2 linked regions of the Caenorhabditis elegans genome follow. The protein of the gene in region 1 purifies or fractionates together with the protein of each later gene. This does not show direct contact. Each region holds a gene or a part of one and is shown in the gene's direction. Other genes may lie near its edges.

Region 1 (6,617 bases):
GACTCACAGATTCGATTATGCTCTTCAAGACAATGAAAATAGAGAAAATTATGAAAATGAAGCCAGACTCACAGATTATGGAACAAATTGGTTTCCGATTTGTGGAGTCAGTGCTGTTTGTTTTCCTGGTGAGTTACATTTAAAAAGAAAAACCTCCCGATTTCATATTAGTTTACAGGGCAACAACTCCCGATGAAATTCCACGATGATGAACGAGAAATCTATGAAAGACTTGTATCGAGTGCTCGAGCTAATGGATTTGTTGTACTGTTTCCATTGGATATTCCAGAATGCACATCACTCCCATATATTGCTACACTTTCTAGAGTTGTTCAAGCAAATTCTAACGCTCTGAGTATGGAGTTGATGGGCGTCTACAGATGTAAAGTTTTGAAGTATAATTTGTAAGTTTTACGAAACATAATTTCCTTCTAATTTCTTTCAAATTCAGAGGGCGTGGTGAAGCAGAAGTACAATTGCTACCAGACGTCGAACTTCCATCGTTACTTCCATCATTTATTCCGAAATATGCAATACATTTACCTGCTCACGAAAAACGTTCAATTGCAACCCGAATCAATGGATATCCATTCAATGCTATTCGAGATGTTACAGAAAGTGCTGTGAATGAATGCGTGGGACTACTTTCAGGAATGCTTGGAGATGACACTGTGAGACAAGCTAAAGATCGTGGCCTCACATACTTCAGCTATTTTGCTGCAAAGCATATTTTCTCTAATCGGCTAACTGAGTACAGTCTCTTGAAAGAAGATTCAGCGAACGGTCGTATAGTTGCTGCTCTGAAGTATTTCAAAGTATTTGTCGGGAGATGTTCTAGATGTCGCATTCCAATTTTCCGCAATGAACATATCATGAGGCTTCCAGATCAAACAATGACTCATGTTAATGCTCACGGATTTGTTCACAAAATTACCTTACTGTCAGAAATACGAAACTATGATCGAGCTACACCACCATCATATGAATTCACATGGTTTCCAGAGTCAGCTTATTCAAATACCTCTTTATCATTAAATTAGTCAGATTTTCAGGTACGCATGGATTATCATTCAGTGCTCCAGATGTCATGAACACCTTGGATGGGAATATATCAGCATGACTCGTGAACCACGACGCTTTTTCGGAATTCAACGAGAAGGAATTACGTTTCAAAACGAATTACAAGAAGGCGATACAGAGGAAAATTGGGATCATGTTCCAGAGTTTGACAACGATGATCAAGAAGAAGAAGATGATGCGATGAATTTTATACGGTTAATTCTGCGTCGATGAATACTGTATCCTATTTAGTTACTTTGCTAGATATACATCACTGGTCTCAAAATAATTTTCAAGAATGATTTTTCGTTGCCAATTGGCCTTAAGAAGTAATAAACTTTTTGTATGAGCCACTCGTTGTGTCGTTAGTTTTAAATACTTGTTTCCATCCTTTTTCTTACTTTGAATTATTATTTGAAAAACGTTAAAATTTCTCTACACTGATTTTAAGCTGTCAATTTGTTTGTTTCCCTAATTCTCTGCAAAAAAATGTGTTGAGAATTTTATTCAAATAAGAGGTAACGTATGCTGTTGACCGCGTTGCGTACGCGTCGCGGTCACCAAACGCAGCGTTTTTCTCAGTTTCCTCATTTGCTCATTCCTATCTTTTCATTCATTATTTCTCATTCCACTTTGGTCTCCGCTACATTTGCTCTTCCGAATAATTATAATTTTTTTCTTTGTTTTTTCCCGTGAACTTACTTTTGATCTTAAACCAAATGTTGTCGTTCTAATTCAATTGAAAAACGTTTCAGTTTCAACTCCAACAATCTTCGAAAAATGGTTAAGGCTACCAATGTCGATTTGTCTCTTGAGGACATCATCTCTAAAACCAGAAAGACAACTGGAAGCATTCAAAAGAAATCCTTCGGAGGAGCTCGACGAGGAAATACGAGACCCACTGGACTTCCACGCCGCTCCGGCGGAAGTGGTGGATGGAAAGACTTGGACGCGGTTCAGAATCATGGAATTTCAAGCAGAGGAAATGGTGGGTTTCAAATCAATATGTATCTTATTTTCTACTCATTTTGATTATAGATAGCAAGGTTATTAGAGTAAATATCTCTAATCTTGCCCCAACAGTCATTTCAAGCGATTTGGAGGAACTCTTCGGCGACTACAGACTCAGCTCAGTTTCGGTCAACTTCAACGAGCATGGTAAGCTTGATAATATATGCAACCGTATTGAACCAATTTATTTTCAGGTGATTCATTGGGTACTGGTGACATTTCGCTCACCAAACGTGATGCTGAGAGACTTGTTCAGAAGTTTAGCGGTGTCGCTCTAGATGGAAAGGTATTGCATTGGGATACAACAAATCGATAACAAAGACTTTGAAACAATCAATTGGGGCTGAATCCTGATTAAAGTGTGTGCTCCAGCGGACGCTCCTGAATGCGTTCTGTTCTTCTTCTACCAGTTCACAGAAATCTACTGTACGCAACAACAGACCCAGGCAATCAGAATCTCGTTGTTTCCTTTCAAAAAGAGACTTAATAAACCTGTGTTGAGGTTTTTTTGTTGAGTGTGGCCGTTCATTCGATGAAGCTCGTTGAAATTAGTTTTGACCCGTGTCGTGAGATGGATTGTGAGGGGAAAGCCGTTGCTGTCGACACGCATTAATTGATTGGCTCGAGACTTGGTTATTCAAGATTTCTCCGTTACCCAAATCCTGATCTCAGGTGACACAAAATGGAACATGAATATTTCAGATCATGAAATTCGCCGTCATTGATTCGAGCAACATGGCTGGGAGAGTCGATTTTGGAAACAGATCTCGTAGTTCACCGGGAAGATCATCTCGTGGATTCCAATCGGGTCCTCGCAGAAACAATGGCAGTACGTTTTAATGATTAAATTGTGTTCACCAGAATAATCTTTATTTTCAGAACCAGAAGATTTCCTCCGCGACGGAGTGCACGCCGGTGACATCAAGAGAGGCGGAGCTGGTCGAGGTGGATTCCGCAAGGGAGGCCGTGGTGGAGCTCGTGATGCAAAACCAAAGAAGACCGAAGCTGAACTCGACGCGGAGCTCGAAGCCTACATGGCGAAGCGAAATGCCTGAGCACTTTTTTTTTAAACTATAAATCACTTTTTGAACATTCTTGATATCTGCTATAATCTCTGATCCTTCTGTTGTTCTATCACATTAATAACTCGGAATATTTTACACAATCACCAATTTTTATATTTATCGTTCTACTACTTTCCTTTCTCGTGATCTTTTTGTCCACATTTTAAAAATTCGATAAAATAATAAACTGAGCGTCAATAATTTCTTATTGGATCAAGTATGAAGTCGATTTTCGATGGAAGAATATCGTTGTCAGTTATGTGGATTCACCCAGGTCGCCACAATTATGTTCGAAATTTGATTTAATTTTAAATATTTTATTATTGAAATTTAATCAATTCAGATGACGGGTGAGGTGGTGGAGACTCCGGATTGGCCTGCTCCAATTGCAGAAATTGGAGATAAGCCTGTATTTAGACGAATGTTCCATTTTGGAACCATTTTTGCATTCTCCACAATAACCATGGTATTTTTTATATAATTTTGATCATTATAAAATAATATTTGATTCAGATTGGAGCAGTAACAACATTTTTTGCTCTTCAGTGGATGCCTGTTACTTCATACATGGGACTTTTCAATACACTAACATTTTTATTGTGGAATTATTTAACAATAGGAAATCTCTTCAACGCTTCATTCTTCGGTCCAGGATATGTGCCACGTGGCTGGAGACCAGAGAATGCAGCCGACGAGAAGAAACTTCAATTTTGTGTTCCGTGCAACGGATTCAAAGTTCCAAGATCTCACCATTGCTCAAAATGTGATCGTTGTTGTATGAAAATGGATCATCATTGTCGTAAGTTTCTAGATTAGGCCGAGCTTCTTCAATAAATAATAGATAGAGTATCGTCGGGTTTTTTGCTCGAACAGACAGTAAAGATTCTCAATATATTTACCGAATATAGCTGGAATAAAATAATACAATTTTTTAAATTTTTATGATTTTGCAAAAATCTACAAATTATATTATATTTCAGCTTGGATCAACAATTGTGTCGGTCACCGAAACCATCAATATTTCCTTCGTTTCCTGTTCTTCTCAGTTGTTGGATGTATTCACTCGACTATCATTGATGGTTCAGCACTCTATCACGCAATCTTTGCTGGATGGTATCAGAAATATGGCGATGGAACGGAGCCTATAATCCTTCTTACACCAATTTCCTTCATTGCTCTCGTATTTGCAATCGCAATGGCCATTGCTGTTGCTCTGGCTCTCACTTTTCTATTCATAACTCAACTACGATATGTGATTCGAAACAGAAATGGAATTGAAGACTATATTCGTGAGCTGCTTCTGACAATTTTTTTAAAAATACCTACTGTGTTTTCAGATGGAAAGTCTCTGAACATGCGTAAAGTCCATGAAGGTGACGATGAAGAAGAAATTGAATGGATCAAGAGTCTGGGTGAATGGACGTATCCATATGATCTTGGTTGGAAGAGAAATCTTCGTGAAGTTTTTATTGGAATTTTTGACGGGAGGACAAGAGGAAATGGAACATGGTGGCCAGTTGTGAACGGATGCACGCAGTTTACGTTTACAGTAAGTTCAAGCTCATTAAATTATTTTTTTAGAATGAAAACATTGAAGTTTTTCATTTAAAAATTGAATTACAATAAAATCCGTTAAAAATGTTTATATTCAGATCGATCAACTGCTCCAGAAACAATCGAAGCGTGGTCGTTCGCGTATAATCACCATCAGCGAAGATTTTGCTGGGACCTGCTGCGCATCTCGTAAATTCGGCTGCAAAGTTTGGATGAAACAACCGATTATCGATGGAAAATGTCTCAAAGTTTCGGCTGGTGAAACAATCGTGGCAACACGTGGAATTGCTGGCTGGGTATATGGATTCCGAGAGTCGGATCCACGGAACAAAGGATGGTTCCCGCTTGAGATTTCTAATATGAAAAAGAAAAACGACACGAAACCGGATGAAACATCTACTAGTGAAGATGAGACATCCCAGGATACGGCTACTACTGAAGAAGAAGAAAAGAAGAATCAGTGATCAATTTATTATTTGTATTTTTATGTACTTGTTGAATATTCGTGTGTGATATTTATTGCCTTTCACCTCTCAAAAATCTAATTGCTCTAGATTCTGTCATTCCATGTTTTTATGTAGTGTTTTCTGATAACTACCACCAGACAATAAATTATTTTATCGATTTCCACCATCTCACAACGCCTTCTAATCATGTTCTTAACAGGTAATAGGATTTAGTCGGGAACCCTCTCAACAGAGAGTCGATCTATAACATTCTCGTTTGTCTCTCTCTGAATCGCTTTTTTCCGCTTCCCGTTATAATTTGCGTGTAAGTGAATACAGAAAAATCGGAGACGAAAAGAGGGTCTCCACGACTAGAATGCTCTCTCAGAATGCTCACCGCCTAATGATCTTGGAATCGGCGACGTAAAAGTGAATTATTGGCACGAGAGAGTATTCAGAGTAGGTGTAGTGGTGAGCTTTTTTTGGGAATTTATTTATTTCAAAAGTTCCCAATATTTATGTCATCCGACAGAAAATCTAAATTTTGATTTTTTTAAGTAAAAATTTTGTATAGCAAAACTGAGCTGTAAATCCATGCAACAACAAAAAACAAAAATGAATTTTATTCTACAGTAAGATATTTCTAGCGCTTCAAGACCCGCACCCCGAAAGGAGTGTGTCCCTTTAAGGTAATTGACAGTAGCACACAGGTTGTTTTATTTTGTTTTTCGATTTTCTCTGTTTTTCGATCAAATTCTGTGGTATTTTTATACGGTTTCTAGAAAAAAAAAACTATTTTCAAATATTTATCTACTCTGATTTCCTATTTTTCAAAAAAAAATGTTCAGTTTTTCCGATTTGTTGCGTTTTCCCGTTACATAAATTGATTTTTCTTTAAATTTAAAATTTGTTTTGCACAATTAGGTCAATGTTAGAGTTTCTACGATTTTCTAGCAAGTTGTCATGCTTTCATTGCGGAAAAATACCTCAAAATCTTACAAGCAAGAGTTTTTTTTCAAAATTGAAAAAAAACCTAAAATAATTTTAGAAAACTTTTATAATTTTTTTTGCAGTTAGATGTGGTAGCAGTTAGTGCAAGAACCCCTCGTAGTATTCTCCAATGACGAGATTTCAGAATTTCTTGGCAAAAATAGGGATTTTTAATTTTGAGAAACCTAATTTCACATGCCTAAATAAAGAAACAACCGTTTAGAACAATTGACATCATAGAGCAAAACAATAATCAAAAAACGACGCTCTTGATGACTCAGAAACAGAAACTGTCGGAAAAATTCTTACAGTCGGAAAATTGAAATTATCTGCGTTTCTGCATCCATTCAACTATTTCTTCCCGTTATCGACTCGAAATCTCCCGCAGTGAATGAGAGTATTCTCCCCTCCTTCAGTCCCTCACAAACATCTCTCCGCCCATTCCATTCCTAACAGGCTCCACCCATTTTTGCGGGGAAACGCGCGTCAACTC
Region 2 (5,780 bases), on another chromosome or scaffold:
ACGTAGACCTAACTCGATCTATCAATTTTTCCGACCAACCCACTTTTACTTTTTTATCAAATGTTAAGTTCAACTCGTTTCATCCATTTCACACACATATTTGTTTTCTTTTTTATTTCAAGTAATCAGAGCTTTAAGCTCCTCCTATTTTCCCATCGTCCAATTTTTGATACGTTCTTGTATTTTTTTTCTAAATCTCTCCTAACTCAAAATCTCTATTTCAATCTAATGTTTCAGAACAATTTCTCAAATGGCTTCAGTCTTCCAACTTATGGTTCTGTTCACAATTATTGCATACTGCAAAACATACGGTATGTTATTTTCCATTGCACATTTCTTTTCAACTAGACTCAAAATTATTCACCATTCTTTTTATTTTTAGTGGTAGTCGTTGAGCCGCTTGTTGAAAGTATGGATGAGGAGGCGGCGGCGGCGGTTGCTTTAGACCCCGAAGTACCTGTCGTCGCTCCCTCGGATCCAATTCTGCTCCGGAAAAGAAAGTCGATTCTCGTAGGACTCAGTGAAAAAACCGAAGAAGTTTGCAAAACGAAAATACGACAACATCATCGGCCGCAGTATGGACATAGTGAGTTGGAAGCATTCTAGTGCAAGAATCAAGAAATCAATTTAATTTTTTAGTCGCAAACGGAAGTAGAGTCGAGATTCAACAAGACGAAGAAAGCTCATTGGAGGCTACATTTGTTGAGTGTCTAGGAGAAAACCGACCACCATGCCACGGTGTTGATCATGATTTGTAAATTGTGGATCACTTAAGAAAAACTAAAAATATTAGCACATTTACAGATTCATTTCCGAATGTGTAACGGTATATGAACATAGGCCCGCAAATGTTAGAGTTGTCAAATCAGGTGGACCATACTTCCCAGCAACTATTCGAGTAAGTGGTTTAGAAATAAAAGCATTAGAATTTTCAAGTTTTGATTTAATAGCTCTTGACCAAAAGTCAGTAATTCAATGAACAGCATAAATGTTTAGTTGTTTATCTAGGTTTTGTGTTTTGAATTCAATTATCGGATTTCTGATTTATTCGGAATTTTTCAACTTTACTCGTAAAAGTACACGTTAACTTCTTCACAAATTTTACATATTTTAAAAATAAAAATTCTGCTGAAATTGGTAGTTGCCGAGGTAATTTTAAACAGGAAGTGACACTGTGATCTCATTTATTATATTCAGGTTCCAATTCTCTGTGAATGCAGACTTCGTCGTCAATTCAAAGATTTCGAAAAAAGGAAATAACTTCGTGAAACTGTTCTCTAGTTAGCTAATAGCCCATCTGTTCAAATGCTCACAGGCTTCAACTGTGCCAAAATCTCTTAAAATCTCCGTATCATTTGATCTTCCTCCACCATTCTTACCTGATCTACCAATACTAGCCAGCTCCTCGATCTCTTTTTTCTTTTGGTGCCATAGCTATTTTTTTTGTTCTTTGTCATATTTTCCATATTTTTTGAATTTCAAGCATCATGTTGCAGTTTTAATTATGTTTCCTAATGTTTATACATAAGCATTATTTCGTGTATCCATTTTATTACCTGCATTTATTTTGTCTTCAGTTGTATTCTCTAAATTATTTATTTGTGTTTGATCAATTCATTTATGCAGAAAACGAAGAACTGCGAGATGAAGCAGAGTCTATAAAAGGTTTTCTATTCATTTGATATCCTTCGAAAAAACAGAATGACAAATTCATTAGCATGCAGTTAAAAATAAAGAGGAAATGAGTTGAATGGCAATGGAACTCCATTATAATCTTTTTGCACCACAACTTGAAATCAATGGGACAATCTAAATCCCGATAAATAGAAATAATTGTAAACCAAAAATATACACCGTTTATTTACAATGATGATGTAAAAATTATGTCACAATAATAGTAGTTTAATCGGAAAAAAACACATTATTCGTATTTGAATCAGCCCACAAATATTCGTGCGGAGTTTCAAGACCAGTTCGTTGAAACTTGAATTTGAATAATCGGATGCTGGATCGTGACTCAATAATTTAGAATGACGTCAGATTCTATGGCAACTAATTTACTTTGTAGATTAGTCATGTACAGATCCCCGAAAATTTGGTTTTAAGACCTGAAATAAGATCTTCAGTTCATTCGATTTATTTTCAAAACATTGTTGAAATCAGGACCAAGGAAGTAAATGAATAAAACTAGATATTTATTAGATAACCGTCGGAGGATCAGAATTCTGATCAACACTTTTGGCACAACAGTATTTCAAAGTGAAGAGCTCATTTCTCTCTTTTGTACCCTTTCCTGAAGTTAAATTATCATCTTCAGACAAAATATCATTCTTCCATTACTGTTTTCATAAGACAATTAAATTTTTTATACTGGCATAAAATTTTTGTCTAACTCTCAAAAACTAGTCTATCTCTCTACTGTAACCGAACAACAACAAAACACCAAAAGATTAGAAAAACTAGAGTCACACACGTGGTGTACTTTATTTTTGTGATTTTTGTGACAACAATAAGAGAACATATACCAGTTTTCAATATTCGGCTTCATGGAATACTGTAACGCGTTAACCTTTAAATTGTGAAATCTGATTAAACATGGAAGATTGTGTTGAATATGAAATTTGGAAAAGAAATACTCGGGAACAGTATTTAAAAGTTCAAAATATACATAAAATGATCGTTTAGGTTCGAGCCTACATCGTCGAATATCGTATTAAATTACTTATGTTTTTATTGGTAAATTGCCAAATTCTAGAAATTTCTAGCATGTTCGAGCCCATGTTCAGATGCTTAGATATAATTAATAGAAATACAAATCGACTAGAACAATCGTAAAAAATTGTTTTATTTTGAAGTTTTTCTATGTCGTAATATTAACTTTTAATGACAGTTCATTTTCTTTCAGTCGCGGGGTGCTCATTCTTTTGCATTGTTAAATTGATAAAATACTTAAAATGTCGATACAACATGTAGGTGCTAAGATGTGTGCATGCGATGCATGAGTAGCTTCCCGAAGATCACCTAGTCCAACTATGCCTTCTTTACTAGCCCAAATGTTAATTGACATCGTGTGAACGTAGTGTTAGGATGTCACCAGTTACGCATGCCTACGTCTGTAGGCTCTTGTGCTCCTACATGGTATACTTAGTATGAATACAGATATCAGTGCCGATCCTTGAAAATGTGAGAATGTGGTCGTCAAAACAAAATTCACAAATGACACACCAATTGCTTTTTCGTTTAGTCGGTGTTTGTTTGAAAACAAAACTGATTCAATGCTTCATTCATTTGTCTTCTTCTTTTTGATTTACTTTATCGTTGTTTTGTGTAACAACACCAAGGCTCTCAAGGACAGCCCGTATCGATCGCAATTCGGCCGCTGTGGCAGACTACCCATTCACCACTGCGACCGATAGACCGACTACTACCTGTTTATACCCAATTATTCGTTCTCATGTTTCTTTTTATCCTTTTTACTGTTGAATTACCAACAGTTGAACAATCAAAATATTTTCTATAATAACAAAATTTCTCTTCCTCCATTCTTTGTACCTTTCCAATGTATTTCTTTTGTGAGAACACCAACGTTGCTGATATTTTGCCATATCAATAGAACCATTGTAGTCTACAGTATACTTTTTTAGAATGCGTGTCGCAGTTATTCTTCTGTTCTTTTTATCTGTCGCTCTCGCATGTGACATCATTGTTCATTTGAAATCGGACACAGACAAGAAATTCAGCGGACAAATTGTTGCCAGCAATGGAAAGAAATCTGAAAGGTTTGTTCGGAGGACATCAATAGAAAAATTATGTTTTCTTTTTCAGATGGAGCTATTTGAAGAAGCTTCAGAAGAACACCTTCCAACAGAAAGCCGATGAATGTGGACTCAAGGATTGGGAGATTACTACTTGGGATGATGCTGGAAAGCCAGTTGCTACCGTAAAAGTCACTTTGGATGGAATTGGAAGAGTCACTTACAAGGTTGGAGATGATTTGAAGGCAGTTCAAAAGGATCGTCAAGGAGCCATCTGCAAGGGACAATGTGCTCCTTTGTAAATGTTTGAAAACTATTAATCAATGATAAAACTGATAAAACATTCATTTTTCTTTGTCAATTTTGATTTCACACGAAAATTGATAAACAACTTCTGAGATAGTTTGTGTCTTCAAGGCAAAATGGTGAGAAGTGACAAAAATTATGTACAGGTAAGAGAAAATGGCAAACTGAAAACGAGACTAGCAGGGGAATTTCTTGTAAAAGCTTAGTTTAGGAATCGAATCGACATCTTCTCCTCAATATCAGTTTTTTCCATTGCTCGACAAAACTCATCAAAAGAAATTTTTCCATCACGATCTGCATCAGCTTCCTCAATCGTTCGATCAGCAATCTTGTCGAGTTGATCAGAAGTTATATTGGCACCAACCATACTGTTCAGAATGACTTTGAATTCTTCACGTGTGATGTAGTCGTTTTTATTTAAATCGTACATTTTGAACGCAACTGAAATAAAATTAAATAATTAAAAACTTGAAAGAATAATCTTACAAAGCAATTTGTCTTTTCTCGAGTTGAGAGCATTTTTCTTTACTCTTGAAATCGGTTGAAAGTGTGCAAGAATTCGAACAAATTGACGAAAGTTCAACTGTTGCTCTTCGTTGTCACCGTTTGAAGAAGCTAATGTGAAAAAGGCATCTACGATTCGATCACCAAGAGGATTCACAGCCAACTCGGGAACATTCAAAAAATCGTCTCGTGAAAGAAATCCCTGTCCTGAAATGTTTTTTTATTATTTTTATGATAAAAAGAAATACGCAACAAACCTTTTTTATCAAGTGATAAAAATCGGCTGTAGAGTCGGACAATTTGATTTCTGTTAACTGAAAGTAACATTGATCATCTAATTTTCACCAAGTTAAGAACATTAAAAATAATTGTATTTATTATCTAAACTCACATTCTGTTTCACTCATTATTTCCTCAATCTCCTCATCTCGTAACATTAAAGAACTGCTGTTTCCCATTTCGTAACACTGAAAATTCAGTTCTATCAGTTTTGAGAGAAAAGTTTCTGAAGAATGGAAACCAAGAAGTGAGCGTGTGAAGTTACACCCACGAATGAACAGTTTTGCATAATCTGGCAAAGAAATAGTCAGAATTCTTCAAAAACTGTAAACAAATAACCGAACAAAACAACAAAACATTTCTGGTCTACAGAGATGATTTTGGAGATAATACAGGCAGGTACTATTGAGATATGGCGTAGTATCGATTAGCCACAATCTATTGAAAACATGGATAACGAGAGAAGAGAGAACTATCGATTTTCAAAGCAACTGTCTTATCTTTATGAAATGGACGCGATCATGCCACGGAGAGGCAGCAGGCGCATAAACAGGAAAGTAAAGGCGGTTGGAAGTGAAAGAACATGATAACAAAAATAACAGTAATGTAACAAAAACACGGGAAACGCCAATTTAAAGTGGGTAGGGAAAGCAACTTGAAAACTGCTTATTCATTTCGAAGGTGCCTGCATTCGGTTTGGATTATACGTGTCGAATTCTTCTTCCTCTTCGTCATCAACGTCATCTTCATCGTATGTCTCCTCCCCTTCTGATTCGTCCTCTTCTTCGCTTTCACTGAAATAACGATATTATTCTTCAAGAAAATAAAATTTTCGTGAGGCGAGTGACGTCATTATTGTATTTTTGATGATTATAAAATGTACCTAGTGCGTTCCCGTATATTGTTCTTTCGCATCTCCTCATATAATTCGTAGCT

Evidence for each region. The genes of interacting proteins can lie anywhere in the genome.
Region 2: the proteins of aly-3 (region 1) and ZK856.7 fractionate together in Caenorhabditis elegans (co-fractionation; one large-scale study listed by BioGRID). This does not show direct contact.

Annotation. Positions count from the first base shown.
Region 1 is NC_003282.8:12,121,475-12,128,091, forward strand, and holds aly-3 (Chromatin target of PRMT1 protein C-terminal domain-containing protein), read left to right. Parts: upstream 1-1,807; 5' UTR 1,808-1,839; coding exon 1,840-2,047; intron 2,048-2,097; coding exon 2,098-2,217; intron 2,218-2,264; coding exon 2,265-2,356; exon of another isoform or gene 2,357-2,772; coding exon 2,773-2,899; intron 2,900-2,949; coding exon 2,950-3,125; 3' UTR 3,126-3,335; downstream 3,336-6,617. Other genes in the region: M18.6 (CULT domain-containing protein), read left to right, coding at 1-128, 179-404, 452-1,003, 1,053-1,293; dhhc-6 (Palmitoyltransferase), read left to right, coding at 3,478-3,600, 3,648-3,933, 4,115-4,423, 4,472-4,683, 4,787-5,152.
Region 2 is NC_003283.11:10,198,454-10,204,233, forward strand, and holds ZK856.7 (uncharacterized protein), read left to right. Parts: upstream 1-3,644; 5' UTR 3,645-3,645; coding exon 3,646-3,779; intron 3,780-3,825; coding exon 3,826-4,057; 3' UTR 4,058-4,100; downstream 4,101-5,780. Other genes in the region: nssp-61 (NGF domain-containing protein), read left to right, coding at 251-311, 383-586, 640-754, 805-898, 1,198-1,260; chpf-1 (EF-hand domain-containing protein), read right to left, coding at 4,264-4,502, 4,548-4,772, 4,823-4,879, 4,957-5,023; ZK856.11 (putative RNA-binding protein EIF1AD), read right to left, coding at 5,515-5,638.